Anolis sagrei: one gene and its partners. The protein of the gene in region 4 interacts with the protein of the main gene of each other region in a biochemical or structural test. Links are inferred from orthologs where the notes say so. Each region holds a gene or a part of one and is shown on either strand. Other genes may lie near its edges. The genes, in order: NFKBIA, IRAK1, SENP2 and IKBKG.

Region 1 (6,845 bases), on a different chromosome or scaffold from region 4:
TACAGAATACGTGTGGGCAAACTTTGGCTCTCTGGGTGTTTTGGACTTCAACTCCCACAATTCCTAACAGCTGGTTTGCCCATGCTTGCTGTAGAAGCTGTACTCCAAAACGCCTGGGAAAACTTGCTATGAATGGATCAGGGGGAAAAACCCTGCATGCCTTCTCTTAACTACGTGACACTTGCCCCAGTAATCTTTATTGAGAGCTAGCCAAGAAAGTCACTTATTCATTGGGCAAAACTATGATGCCAGAGGTCGAAGTGTGCAATGACTGGGCAAGTTGACGTCAGTGGTATATCAGATATGAGCTTACCATTGTAGTTGGATGACTGTAGGAGGGAGCAGACTTGCTTCTGACAATACTGTGTGAGGACACCGACGCTGCTGAGAGAGCCCCGCTCACAAGCAATGTGCAGAGGAGTGTTTCCTCGGAAATCTCTGATCTCTGGGTCACATCCGACTTTCAGGAGAGTCTCCGCGATCTCTGGCTGGTCCGTGATCACAGCCAAGTGGAGTGGAGTCTGCAAGGGCAAAGAATGGCCTGATAAGCAAAGGAATTCTACTAGACTTCAAACCCTCACTTCAAGCACCATTTCTAATGAGGAAGTGGTTAGATATGCATGATTGTTTGCAAAGACCTTGCAAAACTGCAACTCCCACAATTCCATAGCACTGAGCTACAGCAATTAAAGTGGTATCAAGCTGCATTAATTTTGTAATGAACCATCCCCAAGTTGAAGTCTGAGGTCCCTTCCAGCCAGGCCCTATATCCAAGGATCTGATCCCAGGTTTTCTGTTTATCACAGATTATTTGGTGAGGAGTCATATAATCCAGTTTAAAGCAAAAAACCTGGGATCGGATCCTAGGATATAGGGCCTGCCTGGAAGGGCCCCAAGTGTCTGGGATTCGTCTCTGAATAGCGGGCTCTTCCCACGAGCCTAGGGCAGTGATTCTCAACCTGTAGTCCCCAGATATTTATGGCCTACAACTCCCAGAAATCCCAGCCACTTTACAAGCTGTTAGGACTTGAAGGCCAAAAACATCTGGGGACCCTGACCATTGAACAAGCCGGATAGGGCTACTGCATGTTGGAGGTCCAAACAGCTGGAGGGTGCCTGGTGTAGATGAATCCAAATGGGCAACTTAATGGATGATGTCCCCTACTACCAATTCTTTTTTTTTGTTTGTTTACTTTGGGGATAACAGTTCAAGATCTGGTTTGCTGTGAGGTTTCCAGCCTGTATGGCCATGTTACAGAAGCATTCTTTCCTGACCCTCTATTCTGCCTTGGTCAGACCACATCTGGAATATTGTGTCCAATTTTGGGCACCCCAATTGAAGGGAGATGGGGACAAGCTGGAAGGCGTCCAGAGGAGGGGGACTAAAATGATCAAGGGTCTGGAGAACTAGCCCTATGAGGAGTGGCTTAAGAGCGGGGAATATTTAGCCTACAGAAGAGAAGGCTGAGAGGAGACATATTGAGGGTCATGTATAAATATGTGAAGGGGAAATCATAGGGAGCAGCCTTGTTTTCTCCTGCCCGCGGAACAATGACTTCAAACTACAAGAAAGGAGATTCCACTTGAACATGAGGAAAGACTTCCTGACTATGAAAGCTGTTCAGCGGTGGAACTCTCTGCCCTGGAGTGTGGTGGAGGTTCCTTCTTTGGGAGGCTTTTAAGCAGAGGCTGGATGGCCATCTGTCGGGGGTGCTTCGAATGCGATTTCCCATGGGGTTGGATTGGATGGCCCACAACATCTCTTCCAACTCTCTTAAAGTACCTGATTGAGGTTATTCTGGAAATTCAGGAAAGCCGTGTCTCGTTCCGCTTGGCGAATGATTTCCAAACTCAGGGACTTTTCCTCGTGAATAATTGCCAGATGGAGAAATCTGCAAATGTACAGAAAGAGAGAAAAAAAACATTAATTTTAAAAAAAAATCATTTTTATTAGCAACAATTTCAGAATAATAATAAAAGAGTGAAAATAGGAAAATAGGTAAAATAGAGAAAAATAAGTAAAACCTCCCCAAACATACCACATACCCAAATTCCCTAAGTGTTTTTAAAATAATCCCTGAGATCAGCTTTGTCAAAGGAAAGGAAGCACATAGACATCCCACATGTCAGGACCAGATGTTGAAAGCTTGGAGTTTCCAAGGCTCGCGCATGCGCCTGAGCGTGCATCCGGGTGTTTTCCGAAAGGAGAGGAGGAAGCAGTGTGAGAGAGCGCGGTGTCCCTGGCGCGCGGCCAGGGACTTTCCAGGCGGGCGCCTCGAGGACAATAAGCCACGCCCACCCCTCCCTGAAGCCCCGCCCAAAAGGAAGAATGGAAGGCTGGAAAAACCCAGCCTTGCAAAAAGAAAAAAATTCCCCAGGATTTTTATGTAACTGGAGGAGGAAAGGGGAAAAAACAAAGGAGGAGGAAGGAAAGAATGAACAGAAAGTGGGGAACTCAAGTTTGGGCAAAGTAGATCAGGTATGGGCCAACTTGGGCCTTGGAGGTTTTTGGACTACAACTCCCAGCATGCCTCACGGCCTCAGGCCCTTTCCTTTTGCCCCTCCGCCGCTTAAACGGCGGAGGGGCAAAAGGAAAGGGCCTGAGGCCGTGAGGCATGCTGGGAGTTGTAGTCCAAAACACCTCCAAGGCCCAACTTTGCAGAAACCCCTTCCTTTCTTCCCTGAGGACTTACGTGTCTCCATCTTCGGTCACTTGCTGCTTCCAAGCCGCCTGAGGAGCCGCCACGTCGGGGAGAACCGGCTGCAAACGGATGCCTTCCAGCTCCCGAACCAGATCTTCATACTCCTCATCCTTCATAGAGTCCAGGCCGCTGTCATGGCGGTCCTGGTCCAGCTGGCGCTCCTTCTTCGGGGCCTCCATGGCGAAGAGATCCACAGCAGGGCTGAGCATGTCGAGGAGGAGAGGAGAGAAATGTGCCTGAAGGAGGAGAAGCGAGAGAGAAAGGCGGGCGGGCGGGGCTGGCTCGGGCCTATAGCGCCTCGCCTGGAAGGGGATTTCTCGGCGGGGAGGAGCCTGGCGGCGGGAATTTCCCAGCCCAGCCAGCCAGAGAGGAATTCCCTCGGAAACTTGGTGCTTTTTTTTCCACACCAGGGAAAGTACTTCTCTTCTCCACGGCTTGTTATGTGACTCAGGAGAAGCCACCCCAACTGCCCCCCCCCCCTTGTCTCAATCTTTGCCCCTTGAGAAGAAAGACAAAACAAGGCCCAACCATTCCTTCTTGGGATTTTCCTCCCTATCTGTTTTTCCCCCCTCTAGTAAACTAATCTGGCCTTGGGTGGCATGTTATTTTCGTAGGGACACCCACAAAAGGAAGGGGATGGGGTGGCATTATTATTATTATTATTATTATTATTATTGGGTATTTATTTATCGCGTCAGGGGCAGACCAAACAGTTGCATTGCATTTTTTAACAAACAAACAAAACACAAAGTTTGCAAGCTTGGTAGTTGGTTAAATGTCCTTTCATAGAATCATAGAGTTGGAAGAGACCTCATGGGCCATCCAGTCCAACCTCCTGCCAAGAGGTAGGAATGTTGCATTCAAATCACCCCTGACAGATGGCCATCCAGCCTCTGTTTAAAAGCTTCCAAAGAAGGAGCCTCCACTACACTCCAGGGCAGAGAGTTCCACTGCTGAACGGCTCTCACAGTCAGGAAGTTCTTCCTCATCAAGTTTGCAGACGACACCAAATTGGGAGGGATAGCCAATACTCCAGAGGACAGGAGCAGGATTCAAAACGATCTTGACAGATTAGAGAAATGGGCCAAAACTAACAAAATGAAGTTCAACAGTGACAAATGCAAGATACTCCACTTTGGCAGGAAAAACGAAATGCAAAGATACAGAATGGAGGATGCCTGGCTCGAGAGCACTACGTGTGAAAAAGATCTTGGAGTCCTCGTGGACAACAAGTTAAACATGAGCCAACAATGTGATGTGGCGGCAAAAAAAGCCAATGGGATTTTGGCCTGCATCAATAGGAGCATAGCGCCTAGATCCAGGGAAGTCATGCTACCGCTCTATTCTGTTTTGGTTAGACCACATCTGGAATATTGTGTCCAGTTCTGGGCACCACAATTCAAGAGAGATATTGACAAGCTGGAATGTGTCCAGAGGAGAGCGACTAAAATGATAAAAGGTCTGGAGAACAAGCCCTATGAGGAGCGGCTTAAGGAGCTGGGCATGTTTAGCCTGAAGAAGAGAAGGCTGAGAGGGGATATGATAGCCATGTATAAATATGTGAGAAGAAGCCACAGGGAGGAGGGAGCAAGCTTGTTTCCTGCTTCCCTGGAGACTAGGACGCGGAACAATGGCTTCAAACTACAAGAGAGGAGATTCCATCTGAACATGAGGAAGAACTTCCTGACTGTGAGAGCCATTCAGCAGTGGAACTCTCTGCCCCGGAGTGTGGTGGAGGCTCCTTCTTTGGAGGCTTTTAAGCAGAGGCTGGATGGCCATCTGTCAAGGGTGATTTGAATGCAATATTCCTGCTTCTTGGCAGGGGGTTGGACTGGATGGCCCATGAGGTCTCTTCCAACTCTTTGATTCTATGATTCTATGATCTGCCTGTGACAAAGAACTAGTGGGATCACAAGCCTGAAAAAGTTACAGAAAATGAACACGTCAAACTACTCTGGGACTTCCAAATTCAGACAGACAGAGTTTTGGAGCACAATACTCTTGACCTCACATTTGTGTTAAAACCAAGTATGGATAGTTGATGTTGCAATCCCAGGCGACAGCAGGATTGAAGAGAAACAACTTGAAAAGCTGTTTCTAAATCCACAATATGAGGATTTAGACTCTGGCGCAAGCCAGTAAAGACTCTGGCGCAAGCCAGTAAAGGTGGTCCCAGTGGTGATTGGCACATTGGGTGCAGTGCCTAAAGACCTTGGCCTGCACTTAAGTACAATCCGCGCTAACAAAATTACCATCTGTCAGTTGCAAAAGGCCACCCTACTGGGATATGCACGCATTATTCACCAATACATCACACAGTTCTAGACACTTGCAAAGTGTCCGATGTGTGTCCGATGTGTGATCCAATACAACAGCCAGCAGAGTGATCTTGTTTGCTGTGGACACGTTGTGTTCCAAATAATAATAAACAACTGGAAATGCTGACATGATACGATGATTTAAAGATCGAACTGCAAAGATTGGCACAAGCCAGTAAAGCTAGTCCCAGAGCCTAAAGACGGAAGTTTCGGAAAGTTCTGACTTTCTTTTGGAAAAATTTGGAAGTGACTTTAGAATCAAACCACCAGCACCCCCTATATCCAAAAGGAGTTTTGAATCTTTTTTTTTTTTTTTGGAGCAACCAAGCCTACTATCTATCTATGTGTTACAAATACATCTCAGTGTACATCACAAAGTAACATAGAATATGGACCTGGCTGTGGCGCAGCTAGTTAGTTAGCTGCATAAAATTACTACTGACTGAGAGGTTCTGAGTTCAAAGACAGCCCGGGTCAGAGTAAGCTCCCAACCATTAATAGTCTAGCTTGCTGTCAACCTATGAAGCCTGAAAGACAGTTGCATCTGTCAAGTAGGAGATTTAAGTACCGCTTTTTGTGGGGAGGCTAATTTAACGACGCCATAAAACCTTCCTGCAGCATGCAGAAGAATTGGGAAGTACTTCATCAAAGGACCCGGTGTCACAAGTAGACAGTGAAGTGGCAGCTCCCCCTGTGACCGGAAACAAGCATACCCTCATGAAGCTGGAAACGCTGAAATGTTAAATTGCCTCTATGTCTATATATGTTGCATGTCTAAATGGCATTGAATGTTTGCATGTATATGTGCATTGTAATCCACCTTGAGTCCCCTTTGGGGTGTGAAGGGCGGAATATAAATACTGCAAATAAATAAATAAATAATATCTTATCAATAATATTGCAGCTTGCAAACATGAGGATACAGCAAAATTATATATATATATATAGAGAGAGAGAGAGAGAGAGAGAGAGAGAGAGTTTTCTATGTGGCAGCACATTGTTGGCTGTGAGTAGAATACAGATCAAACTGTCAACATGTATCAATTCACTTCAGTATAGGGCTTGGGCTTGGAAAATTGCATTTTATTGCATATCCTCAGCATGTTTTTTTAAATTCCTGTAAAATATGTCCAGTTGGAGTTGGTACCTTTTTGAAACAAACTTCACACACATATATGCACACACATGTATGCACGCACCTACACACTTCACCATTGCATGATTGCACAGATGAATATACTACAACATGCTGCAACATTTTTGATAGAGTGCCATTTATTTTTTGCTAAGACATTTGGTGCACATTTAAAAGGCATGATCAGATTTTATCTTCTCCCCCATGACTAGTTTTTAGAGACTGTAAAACAGACAGGGGCCCCATCTATATTTGATTCAGTTGCTAGCTAGCTTCAAACTCTGGCGTTTAGAAAATGCATGCTGATAAAGCATGCTGTAGCGTGCTTTAAGGACTTTAAACCAACATAAACTAAGTCAGGGGAAAGTCCAAAAGAAAGCCCTTAATGTGCATTACGGTATTCCAGTATAAACTCCATTTCAAAGCAAAATTGGCTCTGCAGAATGTGAATCACTGTGCAGGCACCCAAAGCACTCTGCTGATGTGAAGATGTGCATTCTGGTTGGGGATTTTTTTCTTTTAAAAAATCATTCTTAGGGGCTGTCAAACCATGGATCCTGAAACCGGTTCAAGGCCAGATTTGGTGGTTTGTATAATCACCTGGTCCTCAAGCTGATTCCAGGATTTCATATGTAATCATTGCACAATGAAATTGCTTTCTTCTATACCGTCTTGAAACTGACTTAAGTG
Region 2 (7,159 bases), about 1.5 Mb from region 4:
GTCTCCTTTGAGGGAGAAAATGCGAGATATAATAAATAAATACATATCATGATAATAACACCACAACCAAAAATGTCCTAGTATCTTGATTTTTAGACCTGTTCCTTTGGTTATTTGGGGCCCTGGTTCAGAAAACTGCATTGGACAGACCACATCAGCTGTTGTTTCTTTGATACGGCTATCAATACACTATAATACAAAACTTTATTACGGTCACTGACCAGCACAAAGATATGGTTTTCTAAAGGAGAGCAGATAAGGAATCGGCAGGACAAATATACCCAGAAACAGGGCTAACATTTGGGTACCAAAATGTGTGTTATGAATCTTAGGTCACTTATACACTGTCATATAATTTTGTTTATCAAAGCAGATAATCCACATTATCTGCTTTGAACTGAATTATATGAGTCTACACTGCCATATATTCCAGTTCAAAGCAGATAATCTGGATTTTATATGGCAGTGTAGAAGGGGCCCTAGGCTTTTCACAAGAACTGACTGTGTGTTTTAGCAGCCTTCTTTGGTATATATATATGTGTGTGTGTGTGTGTGTGTATACACATATATACAAAATTAGGCTACTAAACTCCACTGTCTGTTCTTGTGAAAAGACTACAATTCCTTCTATGCTGCCATATAAAATTCAGATTATCTGTTTTGAAATGGATTATATGGCAGTATAGACTTGGGACCCTTCCTTACTGCCAAATGATCCAGATTATCCGATTTGAACTGGATTATATGGTAGAGTAGACTCAGGGCCCTTCCACACAGTCCTATAACCCAGAATATCAAGTCAGAAAATATCACAATATCTAATTGAAGTGGAATATCTGAGTCCACACTGCCATATATTCCACTTCAAAGCAGAAAGAGTGGGATTTCATTCAGCTGTGTGGAAGGAGCTTCTCGTCCCTTCTATACTGCCATATAAAATCCAGATTATCTGCTTTGAACTGGATTATATGGCAGTGTGTACTCAGGCCCTTCTACACTGCTATATAATCCAGATTACCTGCTTTGAACTGGATTATATGGTGGTGTGTACTAAGGCCCCTTCTACACTGCTATATAATCCAGATTATCTGCTTTGAACTTGATCATATGGGAATGTAGACTCAGACCTTCTACACTACCATATAAAATCCAGTTTATTTGGATTATATGACAGTGTAGACTCAGCCCCTTTCTACACTGTCATACAAAATCCAGATTATCTGCTTTGAACTGGATTATATGGGCGTGTAGATTCAGGCCCCTTCTACACTGCTATATAATCCAGATTATCTGCTTTGAACTTGATCATATGGGAGTGTAGACTCAGCCCCTTTCTACACTATCATACAAAATCCAGATTATCTACTTGGAACTGGATTACATGGCAGTGTGTACTCAGGCCCTTCTACACTGCTATATAATCCAGATTATCTGCTTTGAACTCGATTATATGGGAGTGTAGACTCAGCCCCTTTCTACACTATCATACAAAATCCAGATTATCTACTTGGAACTGGATTACATGGCAGTGTGTACTCAGGCCCTTCTACACTGCTATATAATCTAGATTATCTGCTTTGAACTTGATTATATGAGAGTGTAGACTCAGACCCCTTCTACACTGCCATATAAAATCCAGATTATCTGGATTATATGGCAGTGTAGACTCAGTCCCTTTCTACACTACCATAAGAAATCCAGATTATCTGCTTTGAACTCAATTATATGCCCATGTAAACTCAGGCCCCCTCTACACTGCCATATAATCCAGATTATCTGCTTTGAACTTGATTATATGGGAGTGTAGACTCAGACCCCTTCTACACTGCCATATAAAATCCAGATTATTTGGATTATATGACAGTGTAGACCCAGCCCCTTTCTACATTGTCATACAAAATCCAGATTATCTGCTTTGAACTGGATTATATGGCAGGGTGTACTCAGGCCCCTTCTACACTGCTATACAATCCATATTATATGCTTTGAACTTGATTATATGGGAGTGTAGACTCAGACCTTCTACACTGCCATATAAAATCCAGATTATCTGGATTATATAACAGTGTAGACTCAGCCCTTTTTTACACTGCCATAAGAAATTCAGATTATCTGCTTTGTACTTGATTATATGGGAGTGTAGACTCAGTCCCTTTTTACACTGTCATACAAAATCCAGATTATCTGCTTTGAACTCGATTATATGCCCATGTAAACTCAGGCCCCCTCTACACTGCCATATAATCCAGATTATCAATGCAGATTATCCACATTATCCGCTTTGAACTGGATTATCTAAGGCTCCTTCCACACAACTGCATAAAATCCACATTGAACCGGATTATATGGCAGTGTGGACTCAGATAACACAGTTCAAAGCAGATATGGTGGGTTATCTGCCTTGATATTCTAAATTATATGGCTGTCAGGAAGGGTCCTAAATCTACAATGCCATATAAACTAGTTCAAGGCAGGTGATTCAGATTCAAAGCAGATAATCCGGTCCTGGATTCATAATACTGCCCTGCCCTCTATCCCAGGTTCTGATCCCAGATTTACTCTATTTAAACTGGATTATATGAGTCTCCACTGCCAGATAATCCGGGATCAGATCCTGCCTGAGAGGAGGGGCGGCCACACTCCCTGAGGGGAAGCCAGGAGAGCCACTCACCGAAGCGCTGCCACTCCGCCCGGCCGAGGGCGTCCATAATCTCGTAGAACTGGCACATGACAGTGGCCGGCAACTCGTACAGGAACCTGGGCGAGTGGGAACCGGCCATCCCCCGCGGGCCCTTCCCCTGGCGGATAAGGCTGCTGCTGCTGCTGCTGAGGCGGCCACCCTCCTCCTTCTCCTTCTCCTCGTCCTCCGCCCAGGCCAGGCCATAGGAGAGGCCGGACGAGGGGGCGGGAAAAGGAGAAGAAAACGAGGAAAAGAAAGAGAGAGAGAGAAACAGAGACTGAGGGAGGAGGAGGAGGAGGCCGCCCCGAAAAAGGGCCACTTCCTCTTTAAAGCACGAGCCGCGCCCCCTTGGCAGCTCTGCGCCTGCGCCGACGTCTCCTCGCTTCTTCGGCCTGGTTGACGGAGCAGCGTTGGGAGGTCAGTCAGGCCGCCATCTTGAGTGCGGCACAGCATGACGGGAAACTTCCTTAATCCTACGTGAGGCAGCCATCTTGAATGCGGCAAAGCCTCTATTGGCCTATTGCTTTGCCTCACCCGCCTTCAGTTTCGCTGACTGCTGCTTCTATGGACATTTTGAGTGTTCCAAATGCTTGGGACCAAGAGTGTTTGAACGTTGAGAGCTTGTATCTACTTTAAAGCCTGTGGCTGCCTCCTTCCTGAAGGATTCTGGGGCTTGTAGTTTAGGGAGAAGACTTTAAGAGAGGTCCTGAGCCTCACTAAACTACAAGCCCCAGAGTTCATCGGGAGGCAGCCACAGGATTTAAAGGAGTGGTTCTCCACCTTCCTAATCCCATGACGCCTTAATACAGTCCCTCGTGTAATGATGACCCCCAACCATAACATTGTTTTTGTTGCTACTTCATAACAGTCATTTTACTACTGTTATCGATCATAATGTAAATATTAGATATGCAAGATGTATTTTCATTCACTGGACCAAATTGGGCACAAATACCCAATGCACCCACATGTAAATGCTAGTGGGGTTGGGGGAGGATTGATTTTGTAACTTGGGAGTTGTAGTTGCTGGGATTTATAGTTCACTTATAATCAAAGAGGAGCCCCCGGTGGCGCAGTGGGTTAAAGCACTGAGCTGCTGAGCTTGTTGATCGAAAGGTCGCAGGTTCGATTCCGGGGAGCGGTGTGTGCTTCCGCTATCAGCCCTAGCTTCTGCCAACCTAGCAGTTTGAAAACATGCAAATGTGAGTAGAGCAATAGGTACCGCTCCGGCGGGAAGGTAACAGCGCTCCATGCAGTCATGCCGGCCACATGACCTTGGAGGTGTCTATGGACAACGCTGGCTCTTCGGCTTAGAGATGAGCACCACACCCCAGAGTCAGACATGACTGGACTTAATGTCAGGGGACTACCTTTACCTTTACCTACCTTATAATCAAAGAGCATTCTGAACTCCACCAGTGATGGATTTGAACCTAACTTGGCACACAGAACTCCCATGACCAACGGAAAACCCTGGAAGGGTTTGGTGGGTATTGACCTTGAGTTTGGGAGTTGTAGTTCACCTATATCCAGAGAGCACTGTGGACTCATGCAATGGTGGATCTGGACCAAACTTGGCATAAATACTCAGTATGCGCAAATGTGAACACTGGTGGAGCCTGGGGAAAATAGACCTTGACTTTTGGGAATTGTAGTTGCTGGGATTTATAGTTCATTATAATCAAAGAACATTCTGAACTCCACCAACAATAGAATTGGCTCAAACTTCTCACATGGAATCCCCATGACCATCAAAAAATACTGTGTTTTCTGATGGTCTTTGGCGACCCCTCTGACACCCCTTCATGACTCCCTCAGGGGTCCCGACCCCCAGGTTGAGAAACACTGATTTAAAGGGATAGCTGCTGTAGTGTGATGAAGTTTGTAATGAGGTAGCTTGGCCATGGGACCCAAGTCTAAGCACCACATTAATGTTTAAAGGTAAAGGTTGTCCCCTGACATTAAGTCCAGTCATGTCTGTCTCTGGGGTGTGGTGCTCATCTCAATTTCTAAGCCGAAGAGCCGGTGTTGTCCGTAGACACCTCCAAGGTCTTGTGGCCAGCATGACCGCATGGAGCGCCGTTGTTTACTGCATACATATCTTATACGTACGTTTAAGATCAAGTCAGGAGATGCTGTGGCTTTAATTTTAATATGCATTGATTATGTTGAATTGTTTTTAAACTGAATTTTTAATACTGTTTATATTGAATTCTGTTTCAATGTTTGTATATTTTATATTAGCCGTCCCTTGCTGCATTGCTGTGGCCCAGTCTGGTGATCTGGAAAATAAAGTAATGAGTGTTGGTTTCTAATATATGTAATTTCTTTATGCTTGTGGATAAACTGTATTTGATTACATTTTCAAATACTGATGGAAGGGAGTCGGACTGGATGGCCTTAAGTATTTTCTTTTGGCCATAGGGGTTATGTGTGGGAAGTCTGCCCCAATTCTCTCGTTCGTGGGGTTCAGAATGATCTTTGATTGTAGGTGAACTATAAATCCCAGTAACTACAACTCCCAAATGTAGTCTATTTTCCCCAAACTTCATCTGTGTTCCTACTTGGGCATATGGAGTACTCCTGCCAAGTTTGGTCCAGATCCATCATTGTTTGAGTCCACAGTGCTCTCCCAAACTCAAGGTCAATGCCCACCACACCCTTCCAGTATTTTCTGTTGGTCATGGGAGTTCTGTGTGCCAAGTTAGGTTCAATTTCATCATTGGTGAAGTTCAGAATGCTTTTTGATTGTAGGTGAACTATAAATCCCAGCAACTACAACTCCTAAATGACACAACCCCCCCCCCCCAACCCCACCAGTATAAACTTAATAGTATTTTAATGGGAAGTGTGTGCCTGCTTTTTGTCTGAAGAGATAGGTAAACCATATTTGATTACATTGCTGTTGTGTGCTTTCAAGTCGTTTCAGACATAGGTTGACCCTGAGCGAGGGCCGGGTAAATGACCTTGGAGGGCTGTATCTGGCCCTCGGGCCTTAGTTTGAGGACCCCTGACTTAAGCCCCCCCCCCCCCCCGAATCAAAATTCTGGCTATGGGCCTGCAGTGGGGGAAGAGTGTGAATGATAGCTATCAGAGACTGAAATGGGGACACTGGTTGGTTGAAATAACACTGAAGAACATATATATGTCCATGGAGCTTACCTTTTTATCCCATTATGAGGTATTGCCATCAGAAGGACAGGTCTTTCCTTGTTTGGAAGCGGATACACTCATGCCTGACTTGCTATTCTCTCTGAAGAATGTAAGCCCTTTCTACATGGCATTCTTCTGTGATGGCAGTCCTCTTGGAGCCTGATTAGGACATATCCTGTAAGCAACTCAAATAATAGGAGAAATCCAGGATAGTCTGTATGACAGATTTTTGTGCTGTTGACCAAGATAAAAGGCAAAGTCACAACACTGTTGCCAGTGCCATCACAAGCCTGCAATATTTCAATATTGTAGTTGATTTTAACGCATTTTGGGGTGTTGAATTTGAAAAACAAACAAAAAATGTCATAAAACACAGTTATTTCACCAATTTAATTCCTAAATTCCAACACTTATTTCATCAGTCACATAGTATAACCTAAGAGTCCTGAAAGCAAGTTGTGAAAACAACTGTAATATAGCAAATCTGAGGTCTTTTTGTTTGGATTTCGAATGCCAAATTCTTATAGAACCTGCAAACATTTTTAAAAAATAGTTATTATGACACTCATTTTTGCAATTCTGTGAATTAGTGTGCATGCATGTGGTGGGCTGGTGTTCTGTAAACGGTTTGTATGTATGTACACAGTTGTACTCTACAAAGCTGGGCCCTTTTAAAGAATCACGGAAGTACCTGGCAATCAACTTATTTAGTTATTTATTTATGAAATATATGCCCCATCTTTCCTGCCTCAAGGCAGCTTACACTCAGTATAAACATACAATATAATTGTTTAAACAAAACCATAAATATGAGTGAATGCTGTGAAACACTAATTAAACCCCAATAAAATACATTGAATACCACACTGATAATACGTAACAAAGTCGAAGAGCCTTCCTAACTTAGTTTCCTCCAAAGACTTCCTTTGAAAAGGAGGTTTTTTGGCTCATCCTGAATGCCAAAAAAGAGAGTGCAGATCTAATCTCCCCTGGGAGGGCATTCCAAAGAGAGGGAGCCACTCCCAAGAAGGACCCCTCTTTAGCGATCGTCAAATGGAGACTGTCACGGATGCTTGAGGACACCAGAATTTCCCCACTTGATCTTAACAATCTCCTCAGTGTTTACAAAGGAACCCGTTGTCTCAGGTAATCTGGACTGATGCTGTGAAAGGCTTTAAAGGTCAAAATTAGTACTTTAAATCAGACCCGGAAACTAAATGGGAGCCAATGCAGCTGTTTCAGGAGTGGGATACTTGGTTCTCTTATATCCACTCACGCTAACAACCTACCTGTCGATCTTTGAACAAATTGAAGTTTCCAAACCGT
Region 3 (7,145 bases), on a different chromosome or scaffold from region 4:
CTGTATTTTAGATTACAATAGGAATTACTAACTGTAAGATACTCAGTTCCATCCTACTCTCTGCCAAAACAATAGTTCTATGCATTTAATTTGGCTTCAATAAGAAGATCCTATCATCTCAAAAAGCAAACAAACCTCATCTTTGGCTTCTGCATGCTGTTCTTCTGTCTGAAGATATTTGGATGCCAACTGGGACGGGAGTGTAATTAAATTGGCAATTCCCCTTGCCAACATACCAAAAATACCTGGAAAGAGTTAATAACATTAAATGACACATCATTTATCTAGGAAATTTGGTACGGAAGTCAAAGGAAAACTCACATCCTAAATCTCATACAGTACAATACAGTATCACTGTCACAAGGGAAAACTCCCACAGGAAGTCCTTCTTTGGGTTATGATTTTTTCTGACATTCATGTAATTTTGACTATGTTAGAGGATTGAGTCAATGGATTACACAAATGGATTCCAAGAACATTTAGGGCAGTACAATGTTCTTTACTATCTCTATGTCACAAACATATAGCAAATTACTGTCAATAGTTCTCAAACATGTATTTTTACAATGTTCTCCTCTTCTTAATCCGGGCCTTATTCAAACAACATCAATTCACTATATAAACATAATTACAGGCTACTACTAGTAATTGTTATGATCTATTTCAAGCATTTGCTCTTTCTGCTCTTTTCTTTCAAGGTTTACAATCATATGAAAAGTGATTGAACAGGGGTAATTTACCAAGTTTTTGCCTTTTTATTTGCTCATGTTCAAAGTCTTCTGGATTAGACTGAATGCTGTGAAGAGAAAAAGACAAATTAATTTGAGAAACAAGGAATCTTTCTTTCTCAGCTTGAAGTACCAATCTCCAAAAACACCATGCTCTCAGGCATAACAGGCACCATTTTACAGCTACCGAACAGTCACTGTACATATCTACAAACTTGATGGTCACATCTGCTAACCCGGAGGTTTTCCTTATAACAATACTCAATACCAATGTATGGGTTACCCAACTGACCTGCAGCATATAAGAAAGGTGGAATTTGTTAATTGTAACCATTAAGACGATGCATGCCTGCAGCAGTTATTCTTGACTTCATTACATCAAAAAACAGTATTTTCGTATTACTTGATTAATCTACTTTCTTGATATGAACAAAAAAAATTCCAATCTACCACATATATTGCAAGATTGCTGCATAGTTACATGTCCATATGGTCTCAAACAATAACAATACTGGGACACAGCTTCATTACATATACTGTATAGGAAATGATATATATTATGAGAACCAACACAAACCAAATATTTCTCCATTCACAGATATATATTATATAGCTTTGGATAGCATAGGGAAGTGTTAACACTCCTATAGTGTTTGTTTTGCTGTCTGTGGACTTTCCGTCCTGGCGATAATTGAAAAAATTTGGGGGGGGGGGAGGGGGGAGAAAGCTTGTTGTGGAAACAAGGATTGGTGAGAAAGCTTCAGTAGAGACACCTTTCCCCCATGATAACTCTTTCAGGAGTGAATTTCCCTTCCTGGGGTAGATTTCTCTCCTCTCCTATTGTCTCATCCTCACTCTTACTATGTCATTTATTGTCATAGTTATACTCTTAACTATGAGTCGTTTATAAGTTGCATGTTTGTAACTTGAGATCTGACTGTAGAATACATGCAAACTAATCGCTGTGCAGGACACGGTTATGGATTTCCCTTCTTAATTTTTTCATAGCTCACTGCTACCTGGAGACCCCAAATGGGTTGGGAACCACTATCTACTGGCTATTAGAAAGTGTGGGAATTGAAGTCCAAAACACTGGGAGGGCTGAAGTTTGACCATGCCTGATCTATACTGTTGGACGAATGCAGTTTGTCACCACTTTAACTGCATGGTTTAATGCAGAGGTCCTCAAACTAAGGCCCAGGGGGCGGATACGGCCCTCCATGGTCATTTACTTGGCCCTTACTCAGGGTCAATATAAGTCTGAAATGACTTGAAAGCACACACAACAACAACAATCCTATCTCATCAAACAAAAGTAGGCCCACACTTCCCATTAAAATACTAATAAGTTTATATTTTTAGAATTGTTTTTCATTTTAATTATTGTATTAAGTGGGTTTTGCACCTAGTGCAGTGTGCATAGGAATTCATTCATGTTTTTTTCAAATTATAATCCGGCCCTCCAACAGTTTGAGGGACTGTGACCTGGCCCTCTGTTTAAAAAGTGAGGACCCCTGGTTTAATGTTACAGAATCATGGAAGATGTGGTAGTTTTACAAGGTCTTTAGGCTTTTCTGCCAAAGAGTATTGGCGCCTCACCAAACTACAACTCCCATGTTTTTGTATTATTGAGTGAAGTCAAAGTGCCTTATTTCCACAGTGTAGTTCAGGTATGGGCAAATTTGGGCTCTCCAGGTGTTTTGGACTTCAACTCCCACCATTCCTCAGAGCCTCAGGCCCTTTCCTTTTCCCCCTCAGCCGCTTAAGCGGCTGAGGGGGAAAAGCAAGGGGCCTGAGGCTGTGAGGAATGGTGGGAGTTGAAGTCCAAAACACCTGGAGGGCCCAGGTTTGCCCATACCTGGTGTAGTTAGTGCACCAAACTGCCAGGTGTAGTTGGTGAGGTCAAACTGTCCGAGGGCCCTTCCACACAAACACATAACCCAGAATATCAAGGCAGACCATCCACAATATCTGCTTTGAAGTGGGCTATCTGAGTCCACACTGCCATATACCCCACTTCAAAGCAGATACTATGGGGTTCTATGCAGCTGTGTGGAAGGGGCCTGAGAGAGGGAGGCCTTCGGGGAAGGCTCTTCTTTGGCCGGGCAACTCCCCTCCGAAACCCCTTGGAAGGCCCGCTCCGCCCAAAGAGGAGGTACCGTCTCTTCCTCGGCCGAGCAGGCGGCGCCTCCCGGCGGCAAGTGGGCCTTGGGGAGAACCACCAGCGCAGAGCCTCGGGCAGCCATTGCTGCATAGGCCTCAGCCGCAGCGACCGGGCCGGAAGCACGTCATTGGCCAGCGACGGGGCGCTGAGGAAGTGACGTAGCCACGCTTTCAATAAGGAGAGAAAAGCACACCTGTGAAAGGGAAATACTTTAGTTTCCTTAACTCAAATCCCTCACACGCCTCAAATACGTTCCAATTCTGTATGTGGCATTCAGGTAAAGGTTTCCCTCTTGACATTAAGTCCAGTTTTGTCCGAATTCTGGGGAGTGGTGCTTATCTCTATTTCTAAGCCGAAGAGCCGGTGTTGTCCGTAGACACCTCCAAGGTCATGTGGCCGGCATGACTGCCTGGCGCGCCGTAGCGGTACCTATTGATCTACTCACTCTTTAAAAAAACCTCTAAAATTACAACAGCAAAACAACAGAGGGGAAATAATCAGGCGCATCTAATCACCTCGCAACAAAAGATTGCCCCAGGAACTGCCAGGCCATCAAATGCTAATCAAGGTGGTCAGTTGAAACATTCACACCTAGCTCCAGCAGACAAGAGTCCTTTGTCTCACCCTGGTCATTCCACAGATATATAAACCCATTTTTCCTAGTTCCACTAGACCTAATAGAGGGGAAACAATCAGACACATCTAATCACCTCTCAACAAAAGATTTCCCCAGGCACTGCCAGGCCATCAAATGCTAATCAAGGTGGTCAATTGAAACATTCACACCTAGCTCCAGCAGACAAGAGTCCTTTGCCCCACCCTGGTCATTCCACAGTTATATAAACCCAATTTTCCTAGTTCCAATAGACCTCACTACCTCTGAGGATGCTTGCCATAGATGCAGGCGAAACGTCAGGAGAGAATGCTTCTAGAACATGGCCATACAACAACCCAGATCTGTTCACATTTGCATGTTTCACTCTAAACAAACTCTAAAATTACAACAGCAAAACAACAGAGGGGAAACAATCAGGTACATCTAATCACCTCTCAACAAAAGATTGCCCCAGGCACTGCCAGGCCATCAAATGCTAATCAAGGTGGTCAGCTGAAACATTCACACCTAGCTCCAACAGACAAGAGTTCTTTGCCCTACCCTGTTCATTCCACAGATATATAAACGCATTTTTCCTAGTTCCAATAGACCTCACTACCTCTGAGGATGCTTGCCATAGATGCAGGCGAAACGTCAGGAGAGAATGCCTCTAGAACATGGCCATACAACAACCCAGATCTGTTCATATTTGCATGTTTTCGAACTGCTAGATTGACAGAAGCTGGGGCTGACAGCGGGAGCTCATTCCGCTCCCCAGATTCGAACCTAAGACCTTTCAGTTAGCAAGTTCATCAGCTCAGTGGTTTAACCCACTGCGCCACCGTTCAACCTTATGTTTGTTTTTGGTTTTTTGGACTTCATTTCCCAGAAGCCAGTGCGACAGAATTCAGGGATTGGTGTTTCATCCTGGAAATCCTGGGTCTCTGGCCCTTTAAGACTCACGAGAGGGGCGGGGCGCGGCTTGGAGCGCCAGGAGTGCCCGCCCTTTTCTGCTCCGCTGGCTCCTCTGCCCGCTGCTTTCAGTTCCGCCTCTCGTGCCTCCCCAGGACTCATCGCTGGTGCTCCGCCATGAAGCCGCTGGTCGGGTTCCTCCTAGTCCTGGGAGCCGCCACCGCCGGCCTTTCCCTGTTGTCGTCGCGGCTCCCCGGAGAGCCCCGCGCGGGGAGCAGGTGAGTCGCTGCTGCTGTCGCCTCCTCCTTCGGCTCTCTCAGCCTGGAGAACTGAGTGCAGCTTTGACACCATCCCACCTCAAAGGCGTGAAGCCATGGGAGATGTTGTACTTTGACAGGGTTTGTAGCCATCTCTGCCAAAGAGTGCTGCAAGGAACTGCAACTCCCACAATCCCACAGCCTTGAGCAAGGGCTGGGAAAGTGGTGTCGAACTGCATCAGTTCTACAGTGTGACCTCTTGGCATAATGATATTCCAGGCACTGGAGAACAGGCATGGGTGAACTTGGGCCCTCCAGGGGTTTTGGACTTCAATTCCCACCATTCCTCGCAGCCTCAGGCCCCTTCCTTCTCCCCCTCAGCCGCTTAAGTGGCTGAGGGGGAAAAGGAAGGGGCCTGAGGCTGCGAGGAATGGTGGGAATTGAAGTCCAAAACACCTGGAGGGCCCAAGTTTGCCCATGCCTGCTATATAATCTATGTAGTTTGACACCACTTTACCAATGCTGTGGATCCTGGGAGTTGTAGTTTGCCAAGGCACCAGCATTCTTTGGCAGAGAAGGCTGAAAACCTTGTGAAATCACAACTCCCATGATTCTATTGCATTGAGCCATGGCAGTTAAAGTGGTGTCAAACTGTATTCATTCTACAGCGTGGATGCACCCAAGGTTAATGTCTCAGCATCAACGCCCATAGGCACAGTTGGCTATTCCTTTATCCGATTTGTCGTTGATCTGCTCCATTGGGTTTCACGCACATCTACAGTCGACTATAGACTTTGTTAAACTCCATCTCCTGGAATTCAGTAGCATTGAGTCATGGCACTTAAAAGTGCTATCAAACTGTGTTGCTTCTCCCATGTAGATGCACCCCTTGCATCACAATTCAGTTCAGATCGTCGTGTCCTGAATTCAGAAGGTCATGATTTATGATTGATGTTTTATTGACCTTATTATGATTGTATATAATATGTTAATGTTCTAAATGTTTCTAAATGTTTTCTGATGTTTGGGCATTGTATTATGCCTCTGTAAACTGAGTCGCCCGTGGGCTGAGAAAAGTGGTATACAACTATAGTCGATAAATACAACTATACAACTATAGTCGATAAATAAATAAACTTCATTAAACTCCCAGGAATCCATAGCATTGAGCCGTGGCAGTTAAAGTGGTGTCAAACTTCATTCATTCTACAGTGTGGATGCACCCAAGGTTAATGTCGCAGCCTCAACGGCATAGACGCAGTTGGCTATTCCTTTATCTGATTTGTCGTCAATCTGTTTGTTTGGGTTTCACACAAATATATAGTCAGCTATAGACGTTGCTAAACTCCATCTCCCATTATTCTATTGAGCCATGGCAGTTAAAGTGGTGTCAAACTGCATTCATTCTACAGTGTGGATGCACCCAATGTTCCTTTGGGTTTCATGCAGATATATAGTTGGCTATAGACTTCATTAAAGTCCATCTCCCAGGAATCCCTAACATTCAGCTATGGCAGTTAAAATGGTGTCAAACTGCATTCATTCTTGGATGCCCCCAAGGTTAATGTCTCGGCACCAACACTCATAGGCACAGTGGACTATTCCTTTATCCGATTTGTCGTCGATCTGTTCCATTGGGTTTCACGCAAATCTACAGTCGGCTATAGACTTGGTTAAACTCCAGCTCCCAGAATTCAGTAGCATTGATCCATGGCACTTAAAAGTGCTATCAAACTGTGTTGCTTCTCCCATGTAGATGCATCCCTTGCATTACAATTCAGTTCAGATCCTTGTGTCCTGAATTCTGAAGGTCCCGCGACTGTGGGAGTCAGCCTAAAAATACACCGCTGCCGAAATCTGATGCTGCCCTGAGTGCGGAAATGTGCTGTTGCATGCGGAGTCAAACTGAGTTTTGGCATCAGGAGTTGTTATGAAATGCAATCATGAAAGGATCCTGAATTAAGTGGCCTCAGGAGCCCAGTGACTCGCTCTGCCAGTTAAATAAACATCAGCACTATTTGTTCCAATATGACCCCGACAGCAGGTGGAGTGACATGTCATTCCAAGCTTAAATATTTCAGTCTAAAATGTTTCAGCATGTTTGATTTATTCTGTAAGATTTTTTTTTCATGTCAGGAGCAGCTTGAGAAACTGCAAGTGATTTCTGGTGTGAGAGAATTAGCTATATGCAAGGATGTTGCCCAGGGGACGCCTGGATGTTTTGATGTTTTACCATCCTTGTGGGCGGTTTCTCTCATGTCCCCGCATGGGAGCTGGAGCTGACAGAGGGAGCTCATCCACGCTCTCCCTGGATTCGAACCTCCGACTTGTCGGTCTTCAGTCCTGCCAGCACAAGGGTTTAACCCACTGTGCCACCGGGGGCTCATTGTGTAAGATACAACTCAAGTATGGTTCTAAGTGCTTTATTGGGGTGCATCTAAACCAGGCATGAGCAAACTTGGCCCTCCAGGTGTTTTGGACTTCAATTC
Region 4 (7,675 bases):
AAAAAGCATGATGAAGAATGGGATGGACATGCACACAGAGCAAAGCCTAGCTCATTCAGTCACATAAACATCAATCGACCATTGCTCTTGAATAAGAGGAGAGGAACAGCAGGATTTTGCCTTATTTCTCTCTGTGGTTATAAAATACTTTTACTGGGCTATCAGATAGTAGATAGTAGCACATACATCTAAATCCTTCTCTATACAAGCAAAAATGGCTGATGCATTACTTAATAGCATGTCTATGAAAATTTTAAGTTTGAAACTTTATCCCTTGATCACAGATATTTCTTCTTGTATGTTTTACATGGCGGAGTACTGAATATGAACCTCCTGGTCATGGGCTGAAATATGTAAGAAATACATATTCACAGAGATAGCTAGCCTTCTATGGCCAATTATAAAGAGAAAACAAAGAAACTGAATTCTTGTGTCCCATAAGATGCCTAAGGATAGATTTCTAGCACTGACACTTGGATTTAGTGTAGCGAATAAATTGTATAAATTGTTAAAGGAATGGTATTCTATGTAGTCACCTACGGATGTGAGAGCTGGACCATAGGGAAGTCTGAGCGAAGGAAGATAGATGCTTTTGAACTGTGGTGCTGGAGGAAAGTTCTGAGAGTGCCTTGGACCGCGAGAAGATCCAACTAGTCCATACTTCAGAAAATAAAGCCTGACTGCTCATTGGAGGGAAGGACAGTAGAGGCAAAGATGAAGTACTCTGTTCATATCATGAGAAGACAGGAAAGCTTAGAGAAGACAATTATGCTGGGGGAAATGGAAGGAAACAGGAAGAGGGGCCGACCAAGGGCAAGATGGATGGATGGGATCCTTGAAGTGACTGGATTGACCTTGAAGAAGCTGGGGGTGGTGACGGCTGACAGGGAGCTCTAGCGTGGTCCATGAGGTCACGAAGAGTCGGAAACAACTGAACAAATGAACAACAATACATTGTGGGACAGATAGCTTGTGACTCTTCAGATGCTGAAGGACTACAACTCTCAACATCCCTACCTAGTAGTTATGTCTCATGGGAGCTGCAGTCTTACAGCATTTGGTGGACCACAGCTACCCATTCGTGTAACATGCAAGAGAGACCTAGATATATAATATATAAGTCCAGCCACAAAGCTTCCTGGGTGATCATGACCCACCTACCATCTCAGCCTAATTTATGACAGTGTTATTGCATTTTTTTTGAGTGGGCACATAATGAGGTTCATGGATACCACTCTATATTCTTTAACAACAAAAATGTAATATATACAAAGGATTATAAGGAGGAGCCTATCAACAAGTACTAAATGTAACTACAGACAGTCATAGAATCATAGAATAATTGTGTTGGAAGAGACCTCGTGGGCCATCCAGTCCAACCACGTCAAGAAGCAGGAAAATCACATTCAAATCACCCCTGACAGATGGCCATCCAGCCTCTGTTTAGTTTTAGAGTAGTGGTTCTCAACCCCAGGTGTTTTGGCCTACAATTCCCAGAAATTCCAGTCAGTTTACCAGCTGTTAGGATTTCTGGGAGTTGAAGGCCAAAACATCTGGGAACCCACAGGTTGAGAACCACTGAGTATTTATTTGAATGATAATTTTAACATCCTACAAGGAAAGACTATGTAACCTATTTGGGTTAATTGCAATGGTCTAGTTTATGTTGTATGTTTCTGTGCTGTTGTAAACCGCACAGTTTATTGATTTTATCTTGTACTAGCCATCCCCTGGCTCAGTCTGTGTATGTGTGCTTTGTATGTGAATGTGTGTCTATATGTGCATGTATATATGTGTGTTTGCGTAGATATATGTGGTTTTGTGCATGCGTTGTAATGTATTTTTTTTAATTTTTTGGCTTTTTAAGTCTCTTCTGCTGTGTTTTTTAGCGTTTTATGAGTGATGGTCACTGGCTGGCCCGATACGTGTATTGTGTCCAAATTTGATGTCAATTCATCCAGTGGTTTTTGAGTTATGTTAATTTCACAAATGAACATTACATTTTTATTTATATAGATGATGATGATGAGGACAGCAATTGCCTTAACTTATAAGAGAGAGACATTTTTATACTTTTATATTTTTACACTGGAGGGAAAGATACTAGAGACAAAGTTGAAGTACTTTGGCCACATCATGAGGAGACAGGAAAGCCTAGAGAAGACAATTATGCTGGGGAAAGTGGAAGGCAAAAGGAAGAGGGGCCGACCAAGGGCAAGATGGATGGATGGCATCCTTGAAGTGACTGGACTGACCTTGAGGGAGCTGGGGGTGGTGACGGCCGACAGGGAGCTCTGGCGTGGGATGGTCCATGAGGTCACGAAGAGTCGGAGACGACTGAACGAATGAACAACAACAACATATTTTTACACAGATTTTAGCTGCTTAATGTGTTATTTATGAGGCCTGTTTGATAATATGTTTTAGCCAATGTTGGCTAAGACTCTATGAAACTACATCTCCCAGGAGTAGTGTCAGACTCCCATTGATTCTCCACCCAGAGTCGTGTTAGGGGGAGAGCCTGGACAATTTGGGATACAACTCCCAGAATCCCCCGAGGGAACAGCCATCTGCCCTACCGAAGGGGGGATTCTGGGAGTTGTAGTCTCTACAAACAAACTTATCATCTGCCAAAGAAGGGATTTCTGGACTTGCTCCCAGAAAAGGAAGACCTCAGCCAGGCTTAGCCCACTTTGCACTCCTCTTGAGCTCCCAAATGCCATGTATATTATAGTTTTTGGACCCCAGGCACCTCAGTTTCACTTTTAGGGCAGGAAGGAAGGGCTCCTGTCCGCACACCTCCTTCGGGCGGGAGTCACAGGCTCAGTCCCCAGTCTTTGACACCCCCTTCCCAGCTCCTATTCCCTCCTTTCACCGCCTGAGTTTTACGAAAAACAGAGAGTCGCACCTTTCCTTTCGACGCCAGCCTGCCCAATGCCGCCGTCTCCTCCCGCTTCCTCCTTCCTGGAACCTTGTTTTGGTCTGATCCGGAAGTGACGTCCAGAAAGAGAAAGCAACTCCGGGAATCGAAAGGAGCAAGACCGAGGCGGAAGTGACGTCAGCAGACGGCCAGACTCAGAGAGGGAAAGCGAAGGCGAGAAAATGGGCCTGGTCTTAGAGCTGGGAGGGGGAGCCCCTTAGTGCCTTTCATGGCGGGATTGAAGAGGGAATCACCCCAAGAAGGAAATAAAGAAGGAATGTGTGGACATAGAATCATAGAATCAAAAAGTTGGAAGAGACCTCATGGGCCATCCAGTCCAACCCCATTCTGCCAAGAAGCAGGAATATTAAATTCAAATCACCCCTGACAGATGGCCATCCAGCCTCTGTTTAAAAGCTTCCAAAGAAGGAGCCTCTACCACACTCCGGGGCAGAGAGTTCCACTGCTGAACGGCTCTCACAGTCAGGAAGTTCTTCCTCATGTTCAGATGGAATCTCCTCTCTTGTAGTTTGAAGCCATTGCTCCATTGCGTCCTAGTCTCCAGGGAAGCAGAAATCAAGCTTGCTCCCTCCTCCCTGTGGCTTCTTCTCACGTATTTATACATGTCTATCATATCTCCTCTCAGCCTTCTCTTCTTCAGGCTAAACATGCCCAGCTCCTTAAGCCGCTCCTCATAGGGCTTGTTCTCTAGACCTTTTATCATTTTAGTTGCTCTCCTCTGGACACATTCCAGCTTGTCAATATCTCTCTTGAATTGTGGTGCCCACAACTGGACACAATATTCCAGATGTGGTCTAACCAAAACAGAATAGAGGGGTAGCATTACTTCCCTAGATCTAGACACTAGACTCCTATTGATGCAGGCCAAAATCCCATTGGCTTTTTTTGCCGCCACATCACATTGTTGGCTCATGTTTAACTTGTTGTCCACGAGGACTCCAAGATCTTTTTCACACGTACTACTCTCGAGCCAGGCATCCCCCATTCTGTATCTTTGCATTTCGTTTTTCCTGCCAAAGTGGAGTATCTTGCATTTGTCACTGTTGAACTTCATTTTGTTAGTTTTGGCCCATCTCTCTAATCTGTCAAGATCGTTTTGAATCCTGCTCCTGTCCTCTGGAGTATTGGCTATCCCTCCCAATTTGGTGTCGTCTGCAAACTTGATGATCCTGCCTTCTAACCCTTCATCTAAGTCATTAATAAAGATGTTGAACAGGACCGGGCCCAGGACAGAACCCTGCGGCACTCCGCTCGTCACTTCTTTCCAGGATGAAGAGGAAGCATTGGTGAGCACCCTCTGGGTTCGTCCATTCAACATGAAACACAATACATTAGCACTAACAACTAAATTATGCAGACCGATTAACTGGCCTCTTCCAGAAAATTAGAAACATTGGAGGTAAATTTCAGGCAAAAATTGGTATGATAAGAAACAAAGATGGCAGGGACCTAACAGAAGCTGAAGAGATCAAGAGAAGGTGGCGAGACTATACAGAAGATCTGTATAGGAAGGATAATAATATCGAGGATAGTTTTGACGGTGTGGTGAATGAATTAGAACCAGATATCCTGAGGAGTGAGGTTGAATGGGCCTTAAGAAGCATTGCTAACAACAAGGCAGCAGGAGACGACGACGGGATCCCAGCTGAACTGTTTAAAATCTTGAAAGATGATGCTGTCAAGGTGATGCATGCCATATGCCAGCAAATATGGAAAACACAAGAATGGCCATCAGACTGGAAAAAATCAACTTATATCCCCATACCAAAAAAGGGAAATGCGAAAGACTGCTCCAACTTCCGTACAGTGGCCCTTATTTCTCATGCCAGTAAGGTAATGCTCAAGATCCTGCAAGGAAGACTCCAGCAATACATGGAGCGAGAGTTGCCAGATGTTCAAGCTGGGTTTAGAAAAGGCAGAGGAAGGAGAGACCAGATTGCCAATATCCGCTGGATAATGGAGAAAGGCAGGGAGTTTCAGAAAAACATCTATTTCTACTTCATTGACTATTCTAAAGCCTTTGACTGTGTGGATCATAATAAATTGTGGCAAGTTCTTGGTGGGATGGGCATACCAAGCCACCTTGTCTCTCTCCTGAGGAATCTGTACAAGGACCAAGGAGCAACAGTCAGAACTGACCACGGAACAACAGACTGGTTCAAGATTGGGAAAGGCGTACGGCAAGGCTGCATATTCTCACCCAACCTTTTTAACTTGTATGCAGAACACATCATGCAAGGATGTGTGGGGCTGGATGAATGCAAAGCTGGGGTGAAAATTGCTGGAAGAAACATTAACAACCTCAGATATGCAGATGACACCACTCTGATGGCCGAAAGCGAGGAGGAGCTGAGGAGCCTTCTAATCAAGGTGAAAGAAGAAAGCGCAAAAGCCGTGTTGCAGCTAAACATCAAAAAAACCAAGATTATGGCAACAAGAATGATTGACAACTGGGAAATAGAGGGAGAAAATGTGGAGGCCGTGACAGACTTTGTATTTCTAGGTGCAAAGATTACTGCAGACGCAGACTGTGGCCAGGAAATCAGAAGATGCTTCTTGGGAGGAGAGCAATGTCGAGTCTCAATAAAATAGTAAAGAGTAGAGACATCACACTGGCAACAAAGATCCGCCTAGTCAAAGCCATGGTATTCCCTGTAGTAATCTACGGATGTGAGAGCTGGACCTTAGGGAAGGCTGAGCGAAGGAAGATAGATGCTTTTGAGCTGTGGTGTTGGAGGAAAGTTCTGAGAGTGCCTTGGACTGCAAGAAGATCCAACCAGTCCATCCTCCAGGAAATAAAACCCGACTGCTCACTGGAGGGAAGGATACTAGAGACAAAGCTGAAGTACTTTGGCCACATCATGAGGAGACAGCAAAGCCTAGAGAAGACAATTATGCTGGGGAAAGTGGAAGGCAAAAGGAAGAGGGGCCGACCAAGGGCAAGATGGATGGATGGCATCCTTGAAGTGACGGGACTGACCTTAAAGGAGCTGGGGGTGGTGACGGCCAACAGGGAGCTCTGGCGTGGGCTGGTCCATGAGGTCACAAAGAGTCGGAGACGACTGAACGAATGAACAACAAAAAGAGAAAGAAAACATGGAGGCAGTGACAAATTTTGTATTTCTAGGCCTAACGATTACTTCAGACGCAGTCTGCAGCCAGGAAATCAGAAGACACTTACTTCTTGGGAGGAGAGCAATGACCAATCTCAATAAAACAGTGAAGAGTAGAGACATCACACTGGCAACGAAGATCCGCATACTTAAAGCAAGGGTATTCCCCGCACTTCTCGGCCTGTCATTGAACATCGAGGAAACCAAAGTGCTGTTCCAGCAGTCATTAGCCAATCCCTCTCCAATGCCAGAAATACAACTTAATGGTGTAACATTAGAAAATGTTGACTATTTCCACTACCATGGCAGCCACCTCTCCACAAAAGTCAACATTGACACTGAAATACAACACCGCCTGAGCTCTGTGAATGCAGCATTTCTCCGAATGAAGCAGAGAGTGTTTAAGGACCGGGACATCCGTAGGGATACCAAGGTGCTTGTTTATAATAATAATAATAATCATCATCATCATCATCTTTATTTGTACCCCGCCACCATCTCCCGAAAGGCGATTCGGAGCAGCTTACATGGGGCCAAGCCCGAACAAGAATACAATATAACAATACAAATTGCAATAAAATAAACAACATAACATTAGATATAAAACATCAAAGCATATAAAAATAGCATTTGATGGCCTGGCAGTGCCTGGGGCAATCTTTTGTTGAGAGGTGATTAGATGTCCCAGATTGTTTCCTCTCTGTTGTTTTGCTGTTGTAATTTTAGAGTTTTTTAATACTGGTAGCTAGGTTTTGTTCATTTTCATGGTTTTCTTTTTTCTGTTGAAATTGCCCACATTTCAATGGCTTCTCTGTGTAGTCTGACATGGTGGTTGTTAGAGTGGTCCAGACCTCACTACCTCTGAGGATGCTTGCCATAGATGCAGGCGAAATGTCAGGAGAGAATGCCTCTAGAAGATGGCCATGTAGCCCGAAAAAACCTATAACAACTCATATATTTATCCTTTTATTCAAACTTTTGAATTGTTTTCAACTTGCATTGTTTTTAATATGTTGTTAACCACCTTGAGCTTCAGTTTTGGGAGAAAGCCAGAATTATTGCTGTTGTCATTATTCCAGTCATTTCTAACTTGCAGCGACCCTAAAAAGGTAAAGGTAAAGGTAGTCCCCTGACATTAAGTCCAGTCATGTCTGACTCTGGTGTGTGTTGCTCATCTCCAGTTCTAAGCCGAAGAGCCAGCGTTGTCCGTAGACACCTCCAAGGTCATGTGGCCGGCATGACTGCATGGAGCGCCCTTACCTTCCTGCCGGAGCGGTACCTATTGATCTACTTACATTTGCATGTTTTCGAACTGCTAGGTTGGCAGAAGCTAGGGCTGACAGCGGAAGCCCACGCCGCTCCCCGGAATCAAACCTGCGACCTTTCGATTTCGATCAACAAGCTCAGCAGCTCAGTGCTTTAACCCACTGCGCCACCGGGGGCTCCGCAGCGACCCTAGGTCACTTGAATTTGATGCTCTCCATGTTTGAATGGAGATTCAAACCAATGGCTGTAATAAGCAAAGTGTTAATAGTAACCAATTTTTTTTCTGGCAATATAAAAGAAAGCATTACTTTTTGTTTTACAGTTTGGAAGTTGTGGGAAGAAGGCACAACACAGT

Evidence for each region.
Region 1: of the proteins of IKBKG (region 4) and NFKBIA, one has a biochemical effect on the other in vitro, tested with the Homo sapiens proteins (15 studies listed by BioGRID and IntAct). The link is inferred for Anolis sagrei from reciprocal best matches to the Homo sapiens genes IKBKG and NFKBIA.
Region 2: the proteins of IKBKG (region 4) and IRAK1 form a complex in vitro, tested with the Homo sapiens proteins (3 studies listed by BioGRID). The link is inferred for Anolis sagrei from reciprocal best matches to the Homo sapiens genes IKBKG and IRAK1.
Region 3: the proteins of IKBKG (region 4) and SENP2 form a complex in vitro, tested with the Homo sapiens proteins (2 studies listed by BioGRID and IntAct, with this or other methods). The link is inferred for Anolis sagrei from reciprocal best matches to the Homo sapiens genes IKBKG and SENP2.

Annotation. Positions count from the first base shown.
Region 1 is NC_090021.1:301,262,561-301,269,405, forward strand, and holds the start of NFKBIA (NF-kappa-B inhibitor alpha), read right to left. Parts: upstream 3,003-6,845; 5' UTR 2,912-3,002; coding exon 2,694-2,911; intron 1,893-2,693; coding exon 1,784-1,892; intron 522-1,783; coding exon 314-521; intron 1-313. UniProt on the Homo sapiens protein: Inhibits the activity of dimeric NF-kappa-B/REL complexes by trapping REL (RELA/p65 and NFKB1/p50) dimers in the cytoplasm by masking their nuclear localization signals.
Region 2 is NC_090022.1:175,997,229-176,004,387, reverse strand, and holds the start of IRAK1 (interleukin-1 receptor-associated kinase 1), read right to left. Parts: upstream 3,015-7,159; 5' UTR 2,781-3,014; coding exon 2,672-2,780; intron 1-2,671.
Region 3 is NC_090023.1:222,745,695-222,752,839, reverse strand, and holds the start of SENP2 (sentrin-specific protease 2), read right to left. Parts: upstream 3,017-7,145; 5' UTR 2,983-3,016; coding exon 2,888-2,982; intron 797-2,887; coding exon 741-796; intron 246-740; coding exon 136-245; intron 1-135. Other genes in the region: TMEM41A (transmembrane protein 41A), read left to right, coding at 4,577-4,677. UniProt on the Homo sapiens protein: Protease that catalyzes two essential functions in the SUMO pathway.
Region 4 is NC_090022.1:174,520,875-174,528,549, forward strand, and holds the start of IKBKG (NF-kappa-B essential modulator), read right to left. Parts: upstream 3,014-7,675; 5' UTR 2,909-3,013; intron 1-2,908. UniProt on the Homo sapiens protein: Regulatory subunit of the IKK core complex which phosphorylates inhibitors of NF-kappa-B thus leading to the dissociation of the inhibitor/NF-kappa-B complex and ultimately the degradation of the inhibitor.